Oryctolagus cuniculus: one gene and its partner. The protein of the gene in region 2 interacts with the protein of the main gene of each other region in a pairwise test. Links are inferred from orthologs where the notes say so. Each region holds a gene or a part of one and is shown on either strand. Other genes may lie near its edges. The genes, in order: PEX26 and PEX6.

Evidence for each region.
Region 1: the proteins of PEX6 (region 2) and PEX26 come close enough for resonance energy transfer, tested with the Homo sapiens proteins (2 studies listed by BioGRID). The link is inferred for Oryctolagus cuniculus from reciprocal best matches to the Homo sapiens genes PEX6 and PEX26.

Annotation. Positions count from the first base shown.
Region 1 is NC_091440.1:88,962,308-88,969,853, forward strand, and holds the start of PEX26 (peroxisome assembly protein 26), read right to left. Parts: upstream 4,839-7,546; 5' UTR 4,668-4,838; exon of another isoform or gene 4,501-4,667; 5' UTR 4,419-4,500; coding exon 4,189-4,418; intron 2,865-4,188; coding exon 2,724-2,864; intron 1,979-2,723; coding exon 1,683-1,978; intron 1-1,682. UniProt on the Homo sapiens protein: Peroxisomal docking factor that anchors PEX1 and PEX6 to peroxisome membranes. PEX26 is therefore required for the formation of the PEX1-PEX6 AAA ATPase complex, a complex that mediates the extraction of the PEX5 receptor from peroxisomal membrane.
Region 2 is NC_091436.1:127,040,477-127,047,229, reverse strand, and holds the end of PEX6 (peroxisome biogenesis factor 6), read right to left. Parts: intron 4,820-6,753; coding exon 4,717-4,819; intron 4,623-4,716; coding exon 4,492-4,622; intron 3,910-4,491; coding exon 3,798-3,909; intron 3,514-3,797; coding exon 3,305-3,513; intron 2,939-3,304; coding exon 2,743-2,938; intron 2,574-2,742; coding exon 2,497-2,573; intron 2,420-2,496; coding exon 2,257-2,419; intron 2,178-2,256; coding exon 1,972-2,177; intron 1,880-1,971; coding exon 1,818-1,879; intron 1,654-1,817; coding exon 1,545-1,653; intron 1,325-1,544; coding exon 1,208-1,324; intron 1,084-1,207; coding exon 1,006-1,083; intron 880-1,005; coding exon 740-879; intron 556-739; coding exon 419-555; 3' UTR 149-418; downstream 1-148. UniProt on the Homo sapiens protein: Component of the PEX1-PEX6 AAA ATPase complex, a protein dislocase complex that mediates the ATP-dependent extraction of the PEX5 receptor from peroxisomal membranes, an essential step for PEX5 recycling.

The DNA of each region.
Region 1 (7,546 bases), on a different chromosome or scaffold from region 2:
CCTTGCCCAGCCTTAGCTATTGCAGACATTTGGGAAGTGAGCCAATGGATGCAAGGTCTATGTCTACATCTAGCTATGTCTGTCTCTGCCTTTGTCCCTCTCACAAGGCTGTTCTGCCTTTCAAATAAACAATAAATAAAATGACAAGTTTAAAAGAAAAAAATTTTAAGAGAAAAAATATTTCAGAAAACAGGGTTAGTCTCCTAATTAAGCTAAGAGTTTTCATATTTTTTAAATGAAAGAAGTTATTATAGGCTACCAAGAGGTTAAAAAAAAAAAAAAAAAACACAACAGTGATCAGTGAGCAAAAACTCCAAGAAAAACTTCAACTCAGCATAGGAACTCCCCACAAAACTGTCCACTGACGCAGGAAAGTGAATTTTCTGCCCTTGGAAGTCACACAGGCTAATAAGCACTCAAGGAAAATAGCTAAAAGGACTCAAGGACCAGGGGAAGGGTCTAGGTGGAATATTTTTTTTTTTTTTTTTTTTGACAGGCAGAGTGGACAGTGAGAGAGAGAGACAGAGAGAAAGGTCTTCCTTTGCCGTTGGTTCACCCTCCAATGGCCGCCGCGGCCAGCATGCTGCAGCCGGCGCACCATACCGATCCGATGGCAGGAGTCAGGTACTTATCCTGGTCTCCCATGGGGTGCAGGGCCCAAGTACTTGGGCCGTCTAGGTGGAGGATCTTTAAAGTCCCTAACCCTGGTAACAAAAGAATCCTCACTTCTACTAGTTTAAGGACGCCTTATATAATACTAGCTAGGCAGTTAGTATCAGGTCTACGTAGTGGTTTCCCTACAAAAGCCATTGTGTAAAACTTGAATGTTAAGGGTTGGACATCAACCACGAGAAACCCCTCAAAAGCTCTTGTATGTGAAGGCAGGCAGGATATTGGGCAGGAGGACCCAAAGTTAAAGATAAATTAATTCTTATCTCCTATGTCAAGAAACCAAATTATTTTATGTTTCTTATCTTTCCTTTGGCTACTCCCAAGCGTGTCACCCCTATGTGCATTTGGGCCAGCATTTAAAGGAAGAGGCCAGCATCATGGAAGCAAGAAAGCTAGTAAAGTCTAAAGAGAGGACTCTAGAAAGGTAACTGATCAAACCCCAATGAGAATGTGACTTCTGAAAAATAAGACCCAGGGCGCAGCACTGTCGTGCAGCGGATTAAAGCCCCAGTCTGCAGTGCTTGCATCCCATATGGGCACCAGTTTGATTCAAGTCTGGCTGCTCCATTTCTGATCCAGCTCTCTGCTATGGCCTGAGAAAGCAGTAGAGGATGACCCAAGCCCTTGGGCCCCTGCACCCTCATGGGGAAACCAGAGGAAGCTCCTGGGCTCCTGGCTCTGATCGACACAGCTCCAGCCATTGCTGCCAACTGGGGAGTGAAACAATGGAAGACCTTTCTCTATCTCTCTCTCTATGCCTCTCTGTAACTCTGCCTTTCAAAGAAATAAATAAATATTAAAAAAAAAAAAAAAGACCCAGCAATATCTCCCCATATGAAGATACTCCTTCCATTGCCAACTTCAGAGGGTCTGTAAGGTCTTTTCCTGTGATTCAGAAATTATTCATACAAAGAATTGCTCCCGAGCTCCCAGGAGAGCCATGTTGGACACAGGCGCAGACAGAGCCCACAACTCCACTTTAAAGACAACACACAGGAATAATGTCCTACCTTCCTGGTTTAGCTCCTGGGTCTGCTGAGAGCCTGAGTGTTCCTGTGTCTGCCGCAGCCTCGCTGAATGAATGGCGTGGAGTCCACCCAGCCGCTGCTCCTCATCAAAGGCTATAGAACCAGTCACTAGCTCCTCAGCCTCCAACAAGTGGCCCAGAGGCAGCAGCACCCGCTGCAGGTGAAGTTCTGCCAAGGCTCCATATTCTGGAAGGTCCTGATTACCAGGGTCTTGGAGCCAGGCACTGACCACATCCAGCATGGCTCCAGGCTCTTTCATCTTGCTGTATAACAGAATGCTGCAACCCCAAATAATCCAATCCACCCCCAACAAAGAAAAGTCAGTTCTCCACAGTTGCTTCATTTCTCGTAACTATTATGCTGATCCTACCCAATCTCTCCATGTCCTCCAGCCCTTTCCTACAGAATGCCGGCACTACTAGAATTGGGCGGGCAGGTATGTTCTGCACAGTGGTTAAGACACCACTTTGGGATACTTGTATCCTCTATCAGAGAACCTGGGTTCAAATCCCACCTCTGCTCCTGATTCCAACTAATGCACACCCTGGAAGGTGGAAGGTAAGGGCTCAAATACTTGAATCCTTGCCATCCTCGTGGGAAAGCTAGATTGAATTCCCAGCTTCTAGCTTTGGCCATGCCCAATTCAAGCTCCTGTGAGCATTTGGGAAGTGCAGATTGGAGATATCTCTGCGTAACTCTCTTTCTCGGTCTGCCTTTCAAATAAATAAAATAATTTTAAAAAATTAGCAGGAATTCCTAGAAAGTAGCAGGCAGGTTCTCAGCTTTGTCCATTTCTTTCCTCCCACTTCTCTCCCATCCTGTGTCCCCTGTTCTCTACCCTACTCCTAAACTCCTCCTCCCTCATCCCTTTTGGGGTCTGAAAAAAGGGGGTGGGGGGAAGAGGAGAAATGATTAGATTTGTAAGAAAGTGGTAGGGAAGGGGAAAAAGGAGATACTAGAGCCTAATTCAGGAGAGGACATGAAATCTTCAGGACTGAGACTATACAAGCAAGAAGAACATACCACAGCTCCAGGACTTTGGGAGGTAGCTTTTCAGGGACCTTGTAGTACTGAAGGACCCAGGAGAGGACTTCCTGCCACCGGTCCATTTCTGCCAGCGCCTGGATCCCCACAACACACAGGGAGCATTTCACCTCCAAGGAGCTGTCAGCAGAAAGACCCATTTGGTTTAGAAGGGATTCCACTCCATTTCCATGCCCGCCTCCACCCTGGGACTGCTCTTCTCTACTTCCTACCTCAGCAGTTATCAACCTCTATCTTCCCCATCAGTATTCTACTGGGCCCCACATTCAGTCTCATGGGCTGCCCTTTCGCCTGGGAGCTTAAAGTTCCTGTAAACTTTGGGGTAAATCAGCTGTCGGCAAATACATATCCTGGTATCCAGGTAAAATCAGGAATAAATGAATGGGAAGGATAAGAGGGGCTGGGAGGTGGGGGGAGAACTTGAGCACAGGTGTGTGGATGTAAGGAGGTGGAGCACAAGTAAATAACAATATACTCCTGCTTTCCACATTTAAAAAAGGAGAAATGTTGGGGGGGATAGTGAGGACTCTCAGGGTATTAGTAATACTTTGTTTTTTGTTTAAATGTTGGATATGAGTATGCTCAGAAGACAAAATCTCATCTGTACACTTATGTGCATTTCTTGGTATGTATACTATATTACAATTTTAAAAAAAATTTTAAAGAAAAAGGTGGAGCCAAATGTTTAGTGAATAAGAGTTTCGAACAAGATTTCTGGCTAAGTGTAGGTACAGGAACTCTAAAATTGGCCTTTTAGTATTGCCTCCAGACACCCCGAAGCAAAGCCTTTTGCATTTACTGCATAAGCACCCAATCGCCACCTAAAAACACAGCCAGGCCTCTAGTTCATTCTTTGGGGTCAGCTTTTACTATTCTACCCATCACCTCCCTGGTATGGCCTAATGCACCATTAAAACCCATGAGAAATGGCGCCCTGAACTGCCAAGGAAGGATGGAGGTATTAGGAGGAGCAATGCAGTACCAAGGCTTTCTCCAGATTCATTATTTAATCCAATCATTCAACAGGACCATAACCCTACTCCTTCCCTGACCCCCATTCCCCTTCATCAGCCAAGGTCAAGAGCGAACAACCTCAGAGCCTAGCGAAAGGGGCAGCTGGGAGGCTCTGCAACCTGTTCACTGACAGACGTTAACACTCATTCAACCTTTCTATCACGCCAGTCTACACTGCAAGGAGGCGCCAAGAACTGGCCGTGGGTTCCCACTAAACTGTAACACGCCTGATCGCTTCTTCATTGTGCAGTGCCTCAGTTTCCTCCTCTATAGAATGGACACAATATAAATACCCAGGTGCTCTGAAAGCAGCCACTCACGAAAGCGAGCTATGAGGCTCCTCGTGAGCAATCTGGAAAGGAAAGCTATGCCGCGACCTATTGAGTCCCTCCACAAAACGGCCCGGAAACGGACGGAACATAGCACGTACGTGCCGGCGGGCTCCTCAGCCAGACCTTCGCTGGCCAGGCTCAGCCACGCGCGTTCGCAGGTCGCCAGCGCCGCCCGGAAGTCCAGGTGCACCACTAGGAAGTCTGCTGCCTCCTCCAGCAGATCCACGGCGAGAGAACAGGCCGGGCCGGAGCGCACGGGCTCGCTGCTCCGCAGGAGCCCCCCGAGTCCTTTGAGGGGGGCTGCAGAGGCCGAAGAGTCGCTCTTCATAGCCTGCCTGGGCTCGGGGGCTGTCTCTTCAGACGCCAGAGTAACCCACCTTTCCAAAGGCTCCAGGATGTCCCGAGGCGGCCTGAGAGAAAAGGGGAGTCCTCATATCCTGACCCACCACCCTCCCCTGGGTCAATTCCTGCAGAACGAAAAGGAAGGGGCCATTTGTGAGGCAAAGGCTGGGCTCAAAAGCACCTGGCACCTCGGTTTTCACCTCAGGTTTACAGAATTACTGCGTCCTCGGAATACCTGGCCCTAGCTGCTCCGGCCTCACGACATGTGCCCGAGCACCTGAGCTCCGAAGAGTGACATTCCGCGCTTCTTTGTACCAAAAGACTGCCTCACTGCGGGTACCGAGCACAGGGCGCGGCCATCTTCCGGCTCTCGCAGCCCGCGGTAGCAGTGCGGCACCGGATGCGCGGAGGACGCTGGGATTCGTAGTTCCCGCCTCTCGGCTCAGTCGCTCTCTAGAAGCAGATGGGAGGATTTGGACTACAGCTCCCAGAATGCCACGCCGCGGATACGGTCACGGTCCTAGGAGAAAACCTACCTGCTTGCCGGCTCTGGGAACGGGAAAGAGGGGTAGACGAGCAGTTAACAAAACCGGAATTATATTGGGGAATGAAGAAGGCCGCTCGGTAACCGAGTGCAAGAACAAGCTGGACAGAAAGAAGTCCACTGATTGAGGTGGAGCTTCTAATTCTGAGCTTGTGTCGGGATGGCAGGCAGGACGTCGGGAGGGGAGACCAGGAAAGGCACGAAAACTCAAGGTTGCAGCTGTCTGCTTTTCCGGACTGTCTCCAGCACAATTCACACTTAGTTCTTGAAGGTTGTGACGCTGTGCTAAGCACGTTGCGTGCCATTTAATTCTTGAGTCTGTGAATTAAGGACAGCTGTGAATTAAGAACAACTGTTGCCGGCGCCGCAGCTCAATAGGCTAATCCTTCGCCTTGCAGCGCGGGCACACTGGGTTCTAGTCCCGGTCCGGGCGCCGGATTCTGTCCCGGTTGCTCCTCTTCCAGGCCAGCTCTCTGCTGTGGCCCGGGAGTGCAGTGGAGGATGGCCCAGGTGCTTGGGCCCTGCACCCCATGGGAGACCAGGAGAAGCACCTGGCTCCTGGCTCCTGCCATCGGATCAGCGCGGTGCGCCAGCCGCAGCGCGCGGGCCGCGGCGGCCATTGGAGGGTGAACCAATGGGAAAGGAAGACTTTTCTCTCTGTCTCTCTCTCTCTCTCTGTCCACTCTGCCTGTCCAAAAAGAAAAGAAAAAAAAAAAAAAAAGGACAATTGTTACCTCATTTTACAGATGAGGCAATTGAGGCTTATCTAGTTGCCGTAGAAAGTAACCAAAAACACAGGTATGTGTTTTAAGTCACTATTTCTGCAGGGACAGAACAAGGTCAATACTTTCTATTCAGAGAGGACGCACAATCATGGTACAAGCAGTTGTAAGTTTAACTCCTTGAACCTTTGTTTTCTCATATAAAATAAGGATATTGTTAACAAAAAGCCACGCAGTGTGTGATGAGATTTACAATAAAATACTGGGACCACAGAGGGCATTTGATAAATTGTAGCTGTAAAAGATATTATGCAATGTTTCACAGATACATAAATTACACGTTGTGCTCTATATTTAGTCCAGGGTTTGACAAGCCTATGTTTCTTACCAGGACCGCTTGGCTTTAGTTTCTCTCTGGTTGTCTGCTTTTGAACTCTCCCCAGTGAGTCTTCACGTTTACTTGCTCTCTGATTAGATCAGATAGGCCGGGCACAAGGTGAGTGCCTGCTCAGAGGCATGAACACATCCATTTTCGGGGCTTTCAGCTTTCTGCTCAAAGTCCTCAAGGAAAGCGAAAGCGAAAACATCAAGCTCATCAAACTCCAAGGAAAGAAAGGTATGTACCCTATAGCCAAACAAGGTGATGAGCAGAGGACTTGTCATTGCAGAGGTAATTTTTGAATGCCTGTGAGATGTCAGGCACTGTTCTAAGCACTGCAGATGGCATAAAGAACAAAAGAGGCAAAAAAAAAAAAATAAGTCAACATAGAAAATAAGCAAAACTTGCAGAATACTGTGTCATATAATGATAAATGCTAAGTTGAAATAAAACAGAGAAAAAGGATTGGGACTTGAAATAGTGGAAAGGTAGAGTTGATATTGATAGGAGATAGGCATGGGATCAGGTAAGGAGCCACAGAGCTGGGAGGTTTTCCACACTTTATGTCTCTAGCCCTGCACCCTAACTCCACCCCCCCCTCCTTGCATGGTAATTCAATACAGCCACTTTCTCATGACACACCTATCCACATGAAGAAGAGATGATGAGCAACTGTACATTGAGTTCCAACATGAAATCCTTCCCAGAGAATATCACATGTACTGAGTCCCACTCCATTTGTACATGCAATTAGGGCACCACTCCCTATACAAAGAAAGCATCTGCTCCATTGGGGGCTCTCTCTCCTCACAGGCACATGGCTCTTTCTACCTTTTGCTCACAAAGGCAGATTCTTATGGTTGATGTCTCTCCTCATGGGGTCGCCGGCATCTGAACATGCACTCACTCTTTTTTTTTTTTTTTTTTTTTTTTTTTATCTTTTATTTAATGAATATAAATTTCCAAAGTACGACTCATGGGTTACAATGGCTTCCCCCCCCATACCGTCCCTCCCACCAACAACCCTCCCCTTTCCCACTCCCTCTCCCCTTCCATTCACATCAAGATTCATTTTCGATTATCTTAATATACAGAAGATCAGCTTAGTATACCTTAAGTAAGTATTTCAACAGTTTGCTCCCACACAGAAACATAAAGTGAAAAATAATAGATGATTTTTTTAAAATGATGATGAAATCAGATCAGACCTATTGTCATGTTTAATCCCAGTGAGAGTCAAGTTGGGAATTGAAAATTTCTTTCTTTTTTTTTTTTTTTTTTTTACAAAAGATCAGTTTAGTGTACATTAAGTAAAGATTTCAGTCGTTTGCACCCCCATAGAAACACAAAGTGAAATATACTGTTTGAGTACTCGTTATAGCATTAAGCCTCAGTGTACAGCACGTTAAGGACCGAGATCCTACATGAGGAGTAAGTGCACAGTGACTCCTGTTGTTGACTTTACCAAT
Region 2 (6,753 bases):
CCCAGCCCCTCTGTCCCTGCAGGTGCTGGGGGTGTGGGTTCAGGCCAAAGGTAGAGTAAGCAATACAGCCTGTGCCTTGTCGGATCCTGCAGGCTTTGTGTTTCTATGTTGCTCTTCTCCACACCAAACAGTCCTGCCACAACACCAGCAGGGGGCGGCATACACTTTATTTTCAGCCACTGTGAGGGCCCAATCCCCAGCTCTCCTGAGCAGCTGGCCTGGGGCAGGAGATGCCTGGTGAGCTCTTCCTGGGGCTGCCAACACCGCTCCCTACCCAGGGCATCTCCCCGAGGGAGGTGGTCTTCAGGTGCATCGTGGGCAGCAGCCTGAGCAAGGGCCCTTTCCTCTCAGGTCTCTCTGTGGGGCCACCTGGGTACCTTTAGCCATTCTGGACAGAGTCCCGGTCTGCAGGGGGCTCCTAGCAGGCAGCAAACTTGCGCTGGATGCGTTTGTACCGCAGCAGCTCCTGCTCGCTGACCGAGGGCTGCAGCTGGGCGGCGGCCTGCAGCAGGTCCTCCATGGTGAGCAGCAGTGCCGAGCTGGCCGGCTCCAGCCCTGGGGGGAAAGGGGGGTGGCAGGGGGAGACCAGCGGCCCCATCTCCGCTGAAGGCAGAGGCTGTGACCCAGGGGAGGGCCCTTCCTGCTCAGAGTGCCCGGATGGCCCTCTTCTGAAATGCAGCCCCAGGCCTGGCTCGCACTAGTGTTTTTGGTTGATTTCTGGGGCTGGCAATGGGCTCACCTTCCTCCAGGTCACGAACCCTGCGTTTGAGGGCAGCTGTCATGGCGTCCGAGCAGAGAGAGTACAGGTCTGCGCCTGTTAGCTGGGGCGGGCAGCAGTCCAGCACCTTCACCAGGCTCACCGAGGGCTCAAGCTTGAATCTTGTGGGGGTGGGGAACAGTTACAGCAGTCCTCACATCCTCCCTCTGAAGCCATCACTGCCCAACACACCCCGTGGCCACCCCAAGGCCCAGGCCCTCGGGGAGTGTCTCTGGAACAGGGCATACTTGCGTGTGATGGCGCTCAGAACACGCAGCTGGGAGGCCCGGTCCTCACTTGCACCCACAAACACCAGCTTGTCAAATCTTAGGGAGATGGGGGTGTCTGTGAGAGGAAGCCCAGCCAGGAAGGGGGGGAGGAGACGCAGAGCAGGGGTGAGGGATGAGCCCAGATGGGCCTGGTGGGGGGTGAGCAGGCTGGGGTGCCCACCTGCCAGGTCGCAGAAGGGCAGGGTCCAGGAGGTCTGGTCTGTTGGTGGCTCCAATCACAAACACATCCTGAGTGCTGTGAAGCCCGTCCAGCTCGGCCAGGAGCTGTGACACCACCCTGGAGGGGGGGAAGCGGAGCTGGGAGGGCCCTGGGGACCTGCCCCGCCTGTGCTGCCTCTCCCTGCAGGCTGCTCCTCACCGGGGCCTTGCAACCAGCTCTGCCTGTGCCCTCCACACAGGTCCCTGGGCTCCCTGGCACCACTGAACTGGAAGGGCAGGAAATTCTCTCTTTGGCTCCCACCCAGGACCCCAGACTCCACTCTCACTCAGACCCCCACCTGTCCATCACTCCTCCAGAGTCTCCACTTCGCCCCCGGCTTGGGGCCAGGGAGTCCAGCTCATCAAAGAAGATAATGCATGGCGCCGCAGCCCTGGCCCTGGCGAACACTGAGGGGAGAGAGGGGCAGGCAGCGAGGGGGGCTCGGGGGTCTGAGGCTGGGAGAAGACAGGGAGGCCGCACTCCAGGCAGGGACTGCCTCGTGCAAGGGAGGACGAGGCGTGACCACCAGCAGCCTGGGGGAGGGGCTGAAGCCCAGGGCCTCCCCTCTCACCTTCCCGCACGTTCTCCTCACTCTGGCCCACGTACATGTTGATGAGCTCTGGCCCCTTCACACTGAGGGAGGTCATGGGAGGGAGAGACCCATCAGATGCGTGTGCACACACACAGTCACCCCCCTCTCGGGCTGCCCCCCATCCCTCGCCCACCTGAGGAAGGTGAGGCTGCACTCCGTGGCTACCGCCTTGGCCAGGAGGGTCTTGCCTGTCCCAGGGGGCCCGTGGAGCAGAAGGCCTGAGCGCCTCAGGCCCAGGCTCAGCAGCTCAGGGTGCTCCAGGGGGAGCTGAATGGTCTCCAGGATCTCCCTCTTCACCTCCTGCAGCCCGCCTACGTCATGCCAGGACACCGAGGGGATCTGGAAGATGGGGGGTGGGCGTCTGGCATATGCTGGTGGAGGCAGCTCCTGCCCAGCCTCCACTGGCCAGAGTCTGCACCTTGGGGGCTCCCACGGCCCGGGAGTGAGCCGTCTGCAGCTGCTCCAGCGCCTGCCCGAAGTCCTCAGCCAGAAGGGGAAAGCCGGCCGCACACAGCTCCCCCTCATCCTCCTCGCTCCAGCCGCCCGGCAAACTGCGGGAGGAGCAGAGTCCCCAGGAGGACCTGGCACAAGGCCTCCTTCCCGGCCCCTCCCCATCTCCTCTTGCCACCTGTCCCCTCCTGTGCTGAACTCCCCTTACCCTGAGTTCCTGATCCTGGTGCAGGCTGCCCGGCTGCTGTGGGCCACAAGGGCACAGAGATCCCCGGCCACGAAGCCCTAGCAAAGCGCAGGGGGACACATGAACAGGGCGTGGCAGGCGGGAACCATGGGGGACTGGTGCCCGGCAGAGCGGACTTGGGGGTTCCTCCCCTCACTGGCAGGCAGCAGCCAGCACTGAGCTCCTGTGGCCTCCCGGGGAGGCGCAGTGCCCTGCCTTCATACTCACTGCACACCGCCGTGCCAGCTGTGCCAGGTTCACCTCTTGGCCCAGGGGGAGGTGGGCAGTGAGGGCCCGCAGGATGCTGAGCCGCTGCCCCTCTGACAGCACGGGCACCTCCAGCTCGTGTGGAAATGCTGTCTGTATGTCAGCAGGCAGGTCCTGGGCCCGGCTTGTGGTGGCCACAACCATGAGGGGAGGGCGGCTGCAGGAGGAGGGGTGGGCACTGAGGGCGGGAACGTGGCTGGAGCTCCTAGGCCCTGCCCTGTGCTGAGGTGGCTGCAGGGCAGGGACAGTGGTGGGGCCGGGATGGGGCAGAGATCAGCCCCACCCTAAAGTTCCCGGCTGGGCCAAGGGAATACCTCGGGGGATGGGAGCTGTTCTTCCCAGGAGGTCCCGGGACCACATCCTCCTCCCTCCAGACACCCCAGGACCCTCAGCTCAGGGCTGCCAGTGGCAACCCAGGGAGCAGCGGATGGCTGAGAAGCCACAGGGGCTGTGAGGAAGCACTGAATGGCTCCAGGGGGAGCCCAGGCCTCGCGGGACGCCAGGCCCAGCCCTTCATGAATACCTGCTGAGGGGGTCCTCATTGAGGAGGAGGTGATGCAGCACGGCCACCACCCGGGCATCCTCGCCCAGCCCATCACGGTCGCGGCCTAGCAGGTCCAGGGCCGTCAGCAGCAGGACCACAGGCCGGCAGCGGCGGGCCCGGGAGAAGGTGGCCTGCAGTTTTGTCTCCACAGCCCCACTGCTGTCTGCACAAAGGCTGGAGCAGGGCACCTGGTACAGAGGCAGGCAGAGTGGGGAGGAGCAGTCAGAAGCAGGCATGGGCCCCCTTGCTCCTGAGGGCAGGGCTGGGTACAGGGGGCACACTGGCCAGCTCCCACCTCTTAGCCACCCTACCCCAGGCCCTGGACTGTCCACCCTCCTCCTTCTAGAAAGCACCCACAGTGGCCGAGCATCATGGGAATACGCTGACCTGCGGCCCACTGGACCGAGGTACTGGGGAGGAAGAGGGAGAATCTGGGGAGGCCAAGGGGGCTCTGCTGTCCAGAGAGCCTCACCTTCAGTAAGTGGAGCCCAAGGCGACCACAGGCCGCCGTGACCGCTGTGGTCTTCCCACTGCCTGGGGGGCCCCGCAGGAGGACACAGCTAGTTCCTGTCAGCAAGGCCCCTCTGAAACCAGAGAACAGTCACTTGTACCCTCAATTCTGCCCATATTTAAAGTCCCCACTCACACAGGAACCGTGGGATCTCAAAAGCAGACCCGGGTTTCTCTCTCCTGGGCCTCCCTGCCCACAACCCAGTGTTGTCTCCACAGTGAGGCTGCACCTCCCGCACTTCCCACACCGCCTGTGGTATCTGGTGGGGCCTGGAACACATCCCACATTTCCACCATCACTGTGTCCGCGGCAAGGCCTGCACTGTCACATCCGGTCTGCACTGTATGGAGAGGCACAAGGGTGGGCACTGGCTCTGCACTTGGGCAGCTATGCCCTTCAGGGCCAGTGGGCTCTGCATGGGAAGGGGAGCCCCAGAGAAGCAGCCTCTGGGGCTGGTTCTTCGTCCACAGCCGACTTCGGAGGATGGAGGTTATCTCAGGAGAGAGCCTAGGAACTCGCTTATGGAGGATGGGACCAGGCACACAGGCCTGGGGAAGGTCCTCCCACTCCCACTCCAGCCACAGCAGTAGGAACCGGGCAGCCTGGCAGGTTCTAAAGCAGGCTCTCCTCACCCCAGGACAGCAGCCTCACTCACCCCAGCTGGAGGCGAGGCTTCAGGGCAGCACAGATCTCAGCCACCAAGCCCTCCAGGCCCGGAGGAGACAAGGAACTCCACGGAGCGCCTGCTGAAGGGAGACTGGGAACGCAGCTCAGGGTGGAACCCACCTGGGAAAGGCAGGAAGCAGCTTGTGTTCCTAAATCTTGCTTCCAGCCCCCACCTCCCTCCCTGCCAGGTCTACGCACGACCCTGGGGCCTCACCATGTACAAGGAAGTGTGGGTGGTGTCAGCCAAGTAGGTGCTGGCTGGCCCATCTGCAACCTCCCCGATCGTTCTCTTCACTTTAAAGAACAGCTCTCGCCACCTGCGGGAGAGAGGCCCGATGAACCCCAGACCGCAGGCTTGCAGGCTGCCCACCCCAGGACAAGGTGGCTTTGTGCATGACAAGGGGTGCAGGGAGATAGGAAAGATTTTTCCTTTCTCCCCCACACTGCACCCCACAAATGCGAAGGGCAGGAGCTATCCCTGTCCCTTTGCTCCCCAACGACAATCCTCAGAGGGCCTAGGGGCTGTGTTTCTGCAGGTACTCGGGCTGCCGCAGCCAGCAAGGGATTATCTCATCATTTCCGGTGGCTTCACAACACAGCCTCCACCTCAAATGAGGGGACTTCACAAAGTCCACGGCAAAGTGGAATTAAAAGCTAAGTTTATTTGCATGCAAACATTTTTGAGATCTGTGTACAGTTTCTCATTAACATAACAATTTTTTGAAGACCCCTGGCACATACCCACTCAGGCCCTCAAGCCTCAGAAGGAGGGAGACTCCCTGGCTCTCATTCAAGCCACAAAATCTAATGGCAGGCAGACTCCCTGATAACGATATCTACGAGTACTGAGTCTCTCTTTCCTGGCTGCATGTGGGAATGACCTGTGAAGCTTAAAAAAAAATTAAACATTTTTCACTCATTATATGCTCTCATTTAGGAGACTCAAGGTTGCCAGAGGCCGAGGGGCAGGGGAGGATATGGAGTGGCTGGCAGTGAGTTCCGGGCTTTTCCTAGGGTGACGAAAGTGGTCTGGAATTAGACAGCGGTGTTGGCTGCACGACCGTGTGAATGTAATTAAAACCACTGGGTTGAAAGTATGAGTTTTATGGTGTGTGAATTTATCTTGATTTAAAAATTAACAGTCCTCCCTCCTCTGAGGGAAGAAGAGGATTCTGGTCTGATGGGTCTGGACAAGGCTTTGCTTCTGTTTCAAAAGCTCCCCTCGCCATTCTGACAGGGCTGTGCAGACTCTGGCTAGCGTCCCAGTGAGGGCAGTTCAATCTCCTCAAGGGGATGGGCAGCAGGTAGCAGCTACTAACTTCATCTTTCAAATAAAGACAGGAGGCGAACTCCTCCCCTCTTCAACCTGCAGACAGCAAGGCAAAGACAGAGCCAATCACTCGGGCCCCTTGCTCACACAGCACCACAGCTACAAGGCTGCGCCCTCCGTCCTCCAGCAGTGGGTGGAGGCGGGGATGCCTCAGGGTGATCCGGGGAAGTGCAGCAAGTGAGCATTCAAAATGCCTGCGTTCCAGCTGGCAGTGACTGCGGTCAAAGCAAGCACAAGTGGAGCATATGGCCAGCGCCGGGAGCTCCGCACAGGAGTGTGAGGAGGGTCAGCACTGCTGTGTACAGCGAGAGACCACCTTCCCCCGCGGAGGGCTGCTGCAACGCCCTAGTGAGCAAAAGGGCCAGAGCTCGGGAACCTATCAGGACACTGCAGAGGACATGGGGTATGTTCCAGAGAGCCAGATGGACAGCCGTGGAGCTGGCTCCTGCATGGCCTGGTTCTAGGAAGTGGGGCACAGGAAACACACTGAAGAGGCTACACCAGTAACAAAGGAATTCCCTTCCAGGGAGCAGAGGACATTCCTAACCAAGCCTAGGGAAGCCCAAGGCACTCCTCTCTATCTGTCCTTGGGCCCACCTGCCCACGCACCCCAACCCTGCCTGCCTTGGGACTTGCCGGGGTGGGGGAGAGAACCACGTACGTGCTCAGCACCCAGAGGGAAGGCAGGTTTCTACAGGGTTGGGACGGCAGAGATCCAGGGACAGAACTGGCTTGCTGGTCTGTCTTGATTAGTCCTTGCGCCTGTTTTCCTTTGGGAAGCACAAAGGGTGGGTATGCTATAGCTTTCCTCACAGGTGTTTGCTAAATTTCAGATGGGAGACAAAGGAGGGAACTGCCTGGTAAGTGCCAGCGTGGCATTTTCTGTCAGACCCCAGCCGCAGCCTGGGACACCGCAGAGGT